2 linked regions of the Arabidopsis thaliana genome follow. The protein of the gene in region 1 interacts with the protein of each later gene in a pairwise test. Each region holds a gene or a part of one and is shown on either strand. Other genes may lie near its edges.

Region 1 (7,411 bases):
CCTACACTTTTTATATCACAACTTGTGTGTTTGCTTAAAACGTTGTTAATAACCATTATAATATATATCTAACATAATAACATTAAACTTTTTAATTAGTCCAAAAAATGAACTTACAAATTATTATCTACTAATAACGATTTCAATGAGGTATGCAGCATGTTGTTGGGTTTGTTTTGAGAGTGACGCAAATCTGTCTTTTCTCCAATCTAATCAAAGATACATAGCGATTCGGTGACATCAATTCTAGAACCAAAAAGATTTGATTAAACAGAGAAATTGACTTAATATGCATTTATAATATAAGCTCTTATGTTGTAGAAAAATCCAAACCTGTTCCACAAGCAAAAACTAAGCTGTATGGGACCATGTTGATATAGACTAAGACCCTAAGCGATATGTACAAATACAGGTGTTATACATAGAAAGAAAAAGAAACCGTTTTTTTCTTTTTCTTATATCTAATTCATATACAGCTAGATATACATGTAATTTAAAATGTTATCTTTATGTAGTAATTTATTGCGAGGGATGAAATATCTGACGGAGGTTTTATGTGAAAACTCGAAGGTGTATTTGATTTTCGGTCAAATATATTTTAATGGCTCTCTCGTATATTGATGATCACGGCTCGGTACATTGTCCTATTACGAACTCGATAAAATTAATTATATTATTTTGTTGTGCAAATCCGATTTAGTAGCTCGTCGTTTGACCCTATATTGAGACATATAAAACATATAACAATTTGCAATAAATAATTAGTTGTTTTTGTGTATTTCTAGTTAAAAAAAAATTGAAAAAATTGTGATACAAAGAATTATAAAAACGTTGACAGCAACATGACTGACTAAACGAAGAAATATCTTACGTACATTACATTTTTTTTGGGGTCAACACGTAGATTATAAATTCAACAAATCCTTAATACGAGAGAGGTAAGTATATTATGGCCCATCAAGAAGGATAGTGGCTTATGGGCCTATGTTATAATATGAAATAAAAGCCCAATTATAAATGAATTTTTATATACTAGAGTGCAAAGTCTGGGCCCAAAGTAAACAGTCTAACGTGTCTTGTCGTTTGATTTCCTCCACTCTAATTATAAATTAATTAATTACGGGGAAAAAGATTAATTAACTTTAGTGAATCCATCATCAATCAAAGACTAATAAAATAAGCGTGAAGGACAAAAGCACTACGGGTCTCATTGTCTTGTCTCAACCCGCATTATTTGTACTCGCAAATGCTGCTAATCTGATCTACTGTTTACTTTTGCATTTTTGTAATAATTTATCTGTATTACTATTATTGTTTTTTACCAATCACTTTTTAATTAGACACATATTTTCATGTACTCATAATTTTAAATATAATGTCTGATGGTAGTTGTAGTAATTTGAAATAATTAATATCCTTTACTTATTATACAGACGATTAAACAAAATATGAGAAAGAGAAAATCAAAACTTTTTACGGGGAAGGTTAAGAAATGCCGTATTATTATTCTGGACGGTGAATATTTTTCTTTTACTTTCCTCTTTGTGCATAAGGTGTTAAAGACTTTTTTTTTTGATTAATCGTCTTTAAATCTTTGGTAAAAGGAAAGAAAAAAGGTTAAAAAGAATAGAGAGGGGTAAAAAAGAGATAACGTGAGTGGTACGGAAGAGTGATGATGAAAAAAAAAGAGTCAGAGAAGGTCATGATGATGATGAACGGACACAGGCCTCTCTTACTCTCTTACCATCAAATCCTACGGTCAGATTGAGATATTTTGTGCTTCCCATGCGTGTTCTTCAATCCCATTTCACCCCTTTTGTTATTATTATGCTCCCCTTTCCCCAATTCCCATTACCTTCCTTTTTTAATTACTTTGAATTTTTTACAGTAATTTTTTTTATGTATATTACACCCGACTATAATTTTTTTCTTTTTTTCTTTTTAACACGAAAAGAATGTAACCGACTATAAAAATTAACATACATAATTTACCTGTTTATTACCAACGAATTTACTTTTTTACTTTTTAACCAATCATCCTTATTACTATGGATTAAACGTTGTGTATGATGATCGTAACAGTGCAATTCAGACATATTTAATACTCCAGAAATATGTATGTTGTTCACATTCAAATTTTGTACTTCTAACAATAACACCACAAATTATACTTTCAAAAAATGAGATTTTTTTTTTAAACTCAATTCGGACAAACTTGTATGTATCTAATTTTTGTCATGACTATAATTTTGTTTCAATCAGTTTACTTATTTAAGTGCAAATTCAACAAAAATAAAAAACAAAAATCTAGCACGTGACGTAACCTTATGAAAAAGATTAATCTATAGTCATTATTAAAGTTACTTATACTATTTACCCATTCATCTATCTAGAAGACTACAATGAATGCCAAACCAAAAAAAAAAAGCAAAATGAAAAATTCAAGTTTGGGGGGACTAACATTTCTCAATGGGCCCCATCCAGTTGGGCCAATCTAAGTAAAAAAAATTGAAAGATAAGGAAACGTAATAATGAAAGTTAAAGAAATTAGGAAGGTGGCGGAATTTAATTAAATTTAATCCGAAAGAAAGAAAGTGATTATAAAAAAAGATTAACAAGTCTTAATTAATTTTAGATTAATAAAGTAGAGATAGAGAGAGAAAGGAAGAAAGTGGAAGAGGTTAGATGTCCCATTCACCACCCGGCAAACCGACTTGGAATGCCGCTTTCTTGTCCCCTCCTCACTCCTCTTTTTCTCTCTTTACCATTTTACCCTTCATTCCTCAATCACATTATCATCACATAGAGGTTACATTAGTCATTAAAAACAAAAGGATAGAATCGGAATTTAATATTTGCAGACAACCATCCCCTTTCGGGTGGAGCCAGAAAAGTGGCATAATTTTGTTTAAAGATCCGACTCCCGACATTTGTACATCAACGGTTCATATCTGCTGATTTAAATCCGACGGTTTAGAATTATCAGCACGATCAAATCTGAGCCGTTGGATTAGAATCCATTCGTAAATAAAAATACGCAACTTTTTCCACTTATTTTCTATTCTACCACTTTGTTTAGTTATTTTAATTTTAATCTCGGCTACGAGTTTCTGGGTAATGATAATTAAGCTTTTTTCTGCTTTAATGGAAGGACCTTGACACTTCTCTCTCTCTTTCTCTTTGCTATTCATCTTCTACAGTTTCTTAAAAATTATACTCTTCTTCTCCAAAATATCTCAGACTCTCTTATTTTTGATCGTCTTCTTCTTCTTCGTTGTGAGCTTCCATTTTTCATCCAGGATTTGTTTTTTCCGTTTGAGGTAATTATGTCTTCTCTGTTCTTCTTATACATAGTTTCAAATCCGGTAATTTTTAGCTTGTTGTTGTTTGTGTGTGTAGTTAGTAGTTATTAGATCTATTAGCTATTGAGTTTCTTTGCTGATTTCCTCACTATTTCTATGGCGAATTTTGGTTTGTTTGAGCTGTTGGCTTAAACCTTGCTAGGTTTAGTGATTTGTAGATAGAATTCTGTGGAAATTCAAATCTGAGATCAGCTCGAAAAATGTAACTCAACGGTGTAGTTTCTTCATCTGACCTTAAGTTGACTTCTATTTATTTTTAGCTTTCCATTTTTTTCTCAGATTGAGCTTTATTTTGCTCTAAATTTTGGTTGTGAGTTTTTCATAGATGCAATCTACTTTTGAAACCCTAATTGATACGGTTTCGAGTTTCTTCGAATTTTGATTGAAATTGAGTTCTTGATTTTTTCTGGTAATTTAGGGTTTTGTTTGAGGATTTGTTTATGGTTATGTGAATTTAATGTGGAGGACTTTGTGCTGTGTAAATCATCAGGTAAAGCAGCTTTGCAGTTAAAGAAACCTTGAGTATCCAATGTCCCCGGAAGAGGAGCTACAGAGCAATGTATCGGTGGCTAGTTCTTCACCTACTAGCAATTGCATCTCCAGGAACACTCTAGGAGGACTTAAAGAGCATAACTACTTGGGTCTCTCTGATTGTTCTTCTGTTGGAAGCTCTACTCTCTCTCCCCTTGCTGAAGATGACAAAGCTACTATCAGCCTCAAGGCTACGGAGCTGACACTTGGTCTTCCTGGATCACAATCTCCTGCGAGAGACACAGAGCTTAACCTTTTGAGCCCAGCAAAGCTAGATGAGAAGCCATTCTTTCCTTTGCTTCCTTCTAAAGATGAGATATGCTCCTCCTCGCAAAAGAACAATGCATCGGGAAACAAAAGAGGCTTTTCTGACACAATGGATCAGTTTGCTGAAGCTAAAAGTTCAGTGTATACTGAGAAAAACTGGATGTTCCCTGAAGCAGCAGCCACCCAGTCTGTAACAAAGAAAGATGTGCCACAAAACATACCCAAAGGACAGTCTAGCACTACAAACAATAGCTCTAGTCCACCTGCAGCCAAGTATGAATAGAAGATAGGAGCATTCGTTCGATTTTGATATGGATTACTTTCAACAGCTAGCTAACTGGTGTTTTTTCGGATTCTGGAATTTTCAGGGCACAAATTGTCGGTTGGCCTCCAGTGAGATCCTACAGGAAGAACACATTGGCCACTACTTGTAAGAACAGTGACGAAGTTGATGGGAGGCCAGGTTCTGGGGCTCTCTTCGTGAAGGTCAGTATGGATGGTGCTCCTTATCTGAGGAAAGTTGACCTGAGGAGCTACACTAACTACGGGGAGCTTTCTTCAGCCTTGGAGAAAATGTTCACCACTTTCACTCTTGGTGAGATGTTTCAGTGATTGCTAGTGATGTGTTTGAAAACCTCTTTCTATTTAAGGATCAATGAATGAGTGCAGTCAAAGTAGTTAACCTGCACTGTTTATTTGATGTTTAGGTCAATGTGGATCTAATGGAGCTGCTGGGAAGGATATGCTTAGTGAGACCAAGCTCAAGGATCTTTTGAATGGAAAAGACTATGTGCTCACTTATGAGGATAAGGATGGTGACTGGATGCTTGTTGGAGATGTTCCGTGGGAGTAAGTTTCCTCTCTTATATTCAAAACTTGTTAGAAGCTTTCTCTACTCTCTGCCAGATATCTTAGAATCAAATCTAACATGCCATAGAAGATTATATCATGGTGATTGGTATAAGCGCTCATGAGTGATTTCTGATCCGATGTATATTACAGGATGTTTATTGATGTCTGCAAGAAGCTGAAGATAATGAAAGGGTGTGATGCTATTGGGTTAGGTAAAGTCTATTCTTCTCTCTGCTCCTAAGCTACAACGTAAACTACTATCTCTACTAAAACCGATTACAAGTAGTGTGTATGATGAGATTAGTGGTTTGTTGGTGTGAGTTACTTGTAGCTGATTTAGAAATTTCAATTCATGTTTGATCACTCGTCTTCTTTTGGGAGTAAATACAACAAATTAACATGTAAATAAAATCGAAATTAAACTGATTTCAATTCATGTTTGATCACTCGTCTTCTCTGATTCAAAATGTCTTAATGATTCAATGTGGTGAACTGGTGATATTGCAGCTGCAGCTCCGAGAGCAATGGAGAAATCGAAGATGAGAGCTTAAAAGATGGAACATGACAAAGCTTTCTAACTATACAAAATATGTGCGATCTTTTGGTGGTGTTTTTAAATTTCAAAACATCAATATCTTTAGTTTCTGAATTTTTAAAATGAAGTAAGTAAGACTACGAATGTAAGGAAATGAAGAAGAATTAAAAATGATCTATTTTTGTTGTTTGTTTGTTGCTTTAGTCAGTAAACTGGTCGTTGTTTTATGTTTTGTGTTTGATTTGGATGTGTGGTTGACTTCTACCTTTGAGATATTATTTGATGTAACGTTTTTGTTATTCTCTTCTTTGCTTCTTCTCGAGAAGAGAAGATAGACAATCCGGTTTTACGATTTGGCTTTCTATCATTGAACATGGAGGTTCTTCTTCTGCATTTGCAAAACAATCTTAAATATTAATCAGTACTTAAATCTTTGAGGTGGATTGTTAAATTCTAACACATTTGAATGCGGAAGTGGTAAACCTACGTTTTTCTCAATGTCTATGACTCTATTCTAAATGGAATATCAAGATTAATCAGAAAGAAAAAAAAATCTTTTTATAACTGTCATAACTAAACTGTGCTACCAAATCATTGCCACCAACGGATCTTTAAACCAACTTGAATAATTCACCTGAAGAACCAAAAGCTACAAGACAAATCAAAGATAAATAAAAGTAATTTCGCCGGGAAAAGGTTTTGATATCATTATTTCACTTTTTAACCTTCCATGAAACTTTGTTTACCTTAGCAAGCATGGGCTGCGTACAAACTCATGATAACTATATAGTACAATCCCCAAACGAAGATATCATAAATTTCAACGAATCAGTTTTAGATTTAGTGAATAACTATAGTTTAATAGTATCGAATAATATCGTTTGAGAGAAAAATAGTCAAAGATACATGAACATAAATTCCCATATACTAATTTCCCATTTCTCATTCAAGGAACGTTTATTATTTTTCTGTTCCTGAAGGTGGAAGCATAGTGCGCCTCTTTGGGTTTGGCAATGGTGGTTTGCTTATTTGTTTTATGAAAATTATTTTTGTGATATCATTTATTGTTCATTTTTAATAATTCCGTTAGCGTTGACAAAACAATATGATTAAACCCCACCTAAAATGAAATGTTATATTCAACTGTCCAATTTTTCAAAGAGGCGTTAATTAATCAATTCCAAGGCATATATTCGATCAAGATAATTAAAGACTCATATAGTACTCTCATAGTTTAAGAGAACCTACGGGTCGAATTTAAATCACTCTTGTTACTTTAAAACTTTAATCCAAATAATGTAGTATATATCTGTGATTCTTGTAGCTAGCTTCACGTGAACTTAATAGTATACACATAAACAACAATCATTGGTCGTGAATCTCATTTAATTCGTTTCGCTTTGATGCACTTATTCGAATGGGACATACTATATACATCCATATAAGTTGATAAACTATATAGTAATATTCAATGTTTTTAAAATTAAATATATGAAATAGACTTAGGGAATGACATGTCGAATTTGTCTCCAAAAGATATGAATTGAATTATGCTTCTCAGTAATGGAACGTGGCAATACCTTTATCACTCATCTATATATGGTTGTTCCCCAAAATTATTTCTTCATCAAACGAGAAAAATAAGATTGTAAATGTAAATGATTTGATCATCTCAATGTTGCATTCAAGAATAGTATCTATAATATTTAGTTATAAGCATTAGGTATTAGGTCAATTATATTCAACTGAGTCTACGAATCGAATTGCATATTGCGTAAAAATTCAAATAAAAGAAGCTAGATAAATGAATATACGTACGATTACGAGAATGAATGTGTGTTTCTTCGATTTGGTAGACCTTCAA
Region 2 (4,627 bases), about 23 Mb from region 1:
TGCCACTTTCTTAGGCGGCGCGTGGGTCTCAGATTCGTCGCGGTCGTCTGATGCTCTGACATCCTCGTCTTTCCTTTTTCCGTTCTCAGACATTTTCTTAACCTCTAAAAAAAACACTCTTCTACTGCAAAAATTGACTCTTGAGATTCTCAAGTTAAATAAAAAGCACCTCTCTCCTTTTCTCGCGTAATATATCTACTGCGTTCACCGAATTACAACTGTGATATCAGATTCGGAACGCCATTTTACAAGCGCACAGTTTGAGAACACGCGCGGCCAAACTTAAAACGGGGGAGTTTTTTGGGAAGGTAAATATTCTTTGGAAAAGAGCAACTATAGCAATGAAAGTAGCAACACAGAGTGATACATTTATTGTGATGGGTTCATCTTCAAAGACAATGTCTGCTTATGGCCTTGTCCGGATCAAGTGAAGTTTGGCAAGAGCTATGTAACATTTAGACCTATCTTGTTTATAACTTATCAAATGAATACTTGTATTCCTGCAACGTATCTTAATTTGCAAATAAAACAGCACTACAGCAGTAAATAAAAGAGCAATCATTATATTCTTAATACCAACCAAAGCTTGTCTGAACCAAAAGTGAAAGATTCCATACACCAACTAATTTGAAGCAGCTTACACTAGCAGAACATGGTGTTGTTCTACAAAAACAACCAAAACAACTGAGCCATATTCTAATAGACGTACAACCAATGATACAAGTTTTAAAACCTAAGAAAGGTCAGAGAGGGCCTTCTCGATATCCTCTGCGTGGTTCCGAAGAGTGTTCCACTGCATTAAGGAAAAGCTGTGTAATAAGCAAATAACAAGAAAACAGAAACACTTCTAGGAGACATAAAACAGTGGAGAGAGATAGAAAGAGATGTGAGTACCTGATCCACGCTTAGAGAGATACCTGCAACGTATAACAAACATAGAGATAATCTTGTCAACATGATTAGTTATGTAGAGATAAACTAATATAGCTGTCTCTAGAGAAAGACATGAAGGAGCAATAGCACCAAAATAAACAAAACGTTGTTGTACAAAAGCAAACACTCTGCACCATCTCCGCTCATACTTACAAGTCCATAAACAGTCTCAATAAGCAGAATTGCCTATTATAAAACCCTAAGATATGCAATTCTATAAACCTGACTAAATGCAGAAACTTAACAAAGCAAAACAGTAACGAAATATAAAACTAAGAGATGAGGAAACACATTACTAGAAATAATGAATTATGAGAGCCAAGGGGCATTGGTTTAAATTACAAAATAAAGTTACCTTTCTTGCCAGGCAAAGTCTTTCCGTCCTTGACATAGAACTCACGAATGTCAATCCAAATCTTCCCGTTCCAATTCCTTACAGAGACTCTCCTATTCTTAGATATCTGATGTATAACCAACATGAACCCTAATTTGATTAAAACCCTAATTTTGAGCAAAACACATCAACAAAATTAAAACTTGACCGAAACCCATAAGCTCACTGCTAATAGAGTAGATAACGAAATTGAAAGATAGACAGAAAGTGTAGACTAACGTTGCAGACGACGATATCGTCAGACTGGTCGGAATCGTCTGCTGGCTTTGCGACTTTCTTAGCCGGCGCGTGGGTTTCAGATTCGTCATCTGATGCTCTGACATCTTCGTCTTTCCTTTTTCCTCTAGAAGACATTTTCTCCAACTGTAAATAAGCAGACCCAAAATGTTCTCTTCAGACCAGAGTAAACTCGCACTAAACAAAAAACCGAGCAATTACAAAATTTAGTAAAAGTGAGAAGGAAACCTGGTCGTGACGCTGCAACGAGTTTCTCGGAGACGGCGAAAGGACTCTTCTACTGCGAAATCGACAAAAGAGAATTGAGAGATTCTGAAGAAAAATGAATCGGCGCGTCTCTTCTCGCGTATTTATGTTAATGTGTTCACCGACCACGCGCTGTTGCAGAGCGTGTGATAAAATTAGAACTGTGACAGTTGTTTTGATTCGGAACGCTTTTTTATAAACGCGAATTTGAGAAAACGCGGGAGCTTTTTTGCTTGGGAAAGGTGAAAACAAAAAGATTTGGACTTGGTTTGAAATCGCCGAACCCTTGACAAAACTCGATGGGGAATTTATTCGTGAAGAAACCGAAGATCACGGAGGTTGATCGAGCGATTCTCTCTCTCAAAACCCAAAGGCGCAAGCTTGGTCAATATCAGCAACAGGTTCTTGATTCCTTCGCCTTGTGATTTCGCATTTCTAGGGTTTATTCTTGCTCGAATTTGGTCTGAGACAGAAAGTGCAGTTTGATTCGATTCACTAATGGTTATGAATAAGGGTAAAGGTTACTGAATTTCGGCTATGGGTTCTCGAGGTTTAAGAAGCAGTTAAATGTAGAAGTTGCCTTCAGAATCTGTCTTGGATCCAAATGTTGATTCTTATGTCAAGCTAATGATGGTTTAATTATTTCATCGCCACTATTGGTAGATAGTGAGTTTGATCGCTGAGAAAGTGGAATGCAAATGTTTTTTTTTTCTTTCCTATGATCCTGAGCTTTGACCTTTCTTTCTCTTAAACCTTTCTTTTTAGCTTGAGAAAGTAATTGAAGCAGAAAAGCAAGCTGCAAGAGACTTAATCCGTGAGAAGCGAAAGGACAGGGCTTTGTTAGCATTGAAGAAAAAACGGACACAAGAAGAGTTGTTGAAGCAAGTAGATCAGTGGCTCATCAATGTCGAACAACAAGTAAATTGGCTTGACCTTCTTCTTATCATCTCCTTGTTTCCATCACATAACCTTAGTGCTATATAAACAGTACTTTTCTTTTCTTTTATAGCTGATTTTATGTTTTGAAAGAAACATAAACGAATATATTTTGAACCTGTCTTTATGACTCAGTTGGCAGATATCGAACTTACAAGCAAGCAAAAAGCAGTCTTTGAGAGCTTAAAGCAAGGTAACAATGCAATTAAGGCGATTCAGAGCGAGGTCAACCTTGATGATGTTCAAAAACTGATGGATGACACTGCCGAGGCCAAGGCTTATCAGGATGTGAGTTAATAGTGAATCTTGTTGTTCCTTTTTGTTTGTGTGGTTCGCTTATAGTTACAATCATTTGTCACATTTGCCGAGCTTCTCCTTGTTTTTCTCCTTCATGGTTATGAGTATTCCCTTGCTTGATCTAACTGTTAAACACTTTGATTTTAGGAACTGAGTGCCATATTAGGTGAGAAACTATCAGCGGAAGATGAAGAAGAGATCTTAGCAGAATTCGACAACCTAGAAAGTCTGGTATGCTACATAATGGATTCTCTTGTTTCTCAGATACAATTGTTTCCAGCATTATGACCGTACTGCCCTATTGATGTTTCGAGTACCACCATTTACTTTGTGAAACAATCTTCTTGAGTGGAGTCAAATGTGATATATAATGTTTGTTTGTTTTGAAGCTGATTGTTGAAGATATGCCTGAAGTGCCTACGACAGAGCTCATGCCTGAAGAACCCGAGAAAATGGATCTCCCTGATGTGCCAACAAAAGCACCAGTCGCTTCCAATGAAACCACTTCAACAAAGAGAAAAGGTTTTTGTGATGTTTGTTCAAGTAACAATTGCTTCATACAAAGAACCTTTAACTCATAGATGCTTTTGTTGTTGCAGTTCTTGAAGAACCTTTGGAAGCTTGATTCAGAAGTGAAGAATCTGATAGACTACTACATAGCCACCTCGGATTATAATCATTCTTTGGAAACCTTTTTGTTATGGGCTCTTGAAGATCTTTGTGTATTCTCTTCTTACTCCTGCAGCTTGTAAAGAACCAAGTTCATGGAGTCTCTCTCCTTGTAAAATGGTTTGGTTGTTTCTAAAACCGATTCAGAGTCTTTGACCTGAACATATGAAAGTATGAATGACAACATTTAGGCTCAGTGGGAACAATTGTTTCTCTTTCTTTGTATAGGATTTTCCTCTTTTCTGAGTGAAAATCAAAGCTACAAATTCTTCCAGAAAGAATTCACTAAAAGATATTTGTAAATGGGAATGTCAAACCAATTGGTTTGTCAAGATTTCAAAACCAGAAAAAAAAATTCTTAATTGATATTAAACCAAACCGTATTAAATTGGTATGGTTTTTTAATCTACAACAAACCAAAGAAAAAAAACCGATACGGAAACACGACTATTTAGCAAAACTATGCACCTATCAATAATACCTCGCTCGATCTGGGTTTTTGCAAAGCTTTATAGGGTTTAAGAACTATGGCTCTCTGAGCTTCATTTGGAAATCTTCATTGTTCTTCGACGACTTTGTTTGACTCCAGGTACCTGTTTTGTTTTTGTATTCTTAGAACAAATAAGATCCCAAGGAATTTCTTTTTGTAATTTCTGGGTTTTGTAGCCATAGATCTCCTAGATGCACAGAAAGTGTTTGAGGAAATGCCTCTGAGAAGGTTGATTTAAACTCTATTGCCCGTTCATTTCATAGATCTCGCCGCCAATTTTAGTTTCGAGGATTTGTGCAAAGCTTTTAGATTTCGTCCCTCTTTTGGTTGTATTTTCCTCAAAAATCCTATGCAAATGTGGATCCAGTTTCGCAGTGCCTTACGATTTTAGATTTCAATAGTATGGTTATGAACATTCATGGAAT

Evidence for each region.
Region 2: the proteins of IAA9 (region 1) and KIWI interact in binary tests that used the Arabidopsis thaliana proteins (3 or more experiments, as listed by UniProt).

What each region holds. Positions count from the first base shown.
Region 1 is NC_003076.8:26,250,572-26,257,982, forward strand, and holds IAA9 (indole-3-acetic acid inducible 9), read left to right. Parts: upstream 1-2,836; 5' UTR 2,837-3,320; intron 3,321-3,375; exon of another isoform or gene 3,376-3,564; intron 3,565-3,852; 5' UTR 3,853-3,891; coding exon 3,892-4,433; intron 4,434-4,528; coding exon 4,529-4,755; intron 4,756-4,867; coding exon 4,868-5,009; intron 5,010-5,162; coding exon 5,163-5,224; intron 5,225-5,519; coding exon 5,520-5,563; 3' UTR 5,564-5,973; downstream 5,974-7,411. UniProt on the Arabidopsis thaliana protein: Aux/IAA proteins are short-lived transcriptional factors that function as repressors of early auxin response genes at low auxin concentrations.
Region 2 is NC_003076.8:2,874,688-2,879,314, forward strand, and holds KIWI (ssDNA-binding transcriptional regulator), read right to left. Parts: upstream 1,923-4,627; 5' UTR 1,793-1,922; intron 1,691-1,792; 5' UTR 1,682-1,690; coding exon 1,547-1,681; intron 1,435-1,546; coding exon of another isoform or gene 1,395-1,434; coding exon 1,289-1,394; coding exon of another isoform or gene 1,272-1,288; exon of another isoform or gene 918-1,271; coding exon 799-917; 3' UTR 794-798; coding exon of another isoform or gene 734-793; 3' UTR 501-733; downstream 1-500. Other genes in the region: AT5G09240 (ssDNA-binding transcriptional regulator), read right to left, coding at 1-93; VPS20.2 (vacuolar protein sorting-associated protein 20.2), read left to right, coding at 2,110-2,211, 2,576-2,728, 2,882-3,034, 3,191-3,274, 3,433-3,565, 3,643-3,668. UniProt on the Arabidopsis thaliana protein: General coactivator that functions cooperatively with TAFs and mediates functional interactions between upstream activators and the general transcriptional machinery. Binds single-stranded DNA.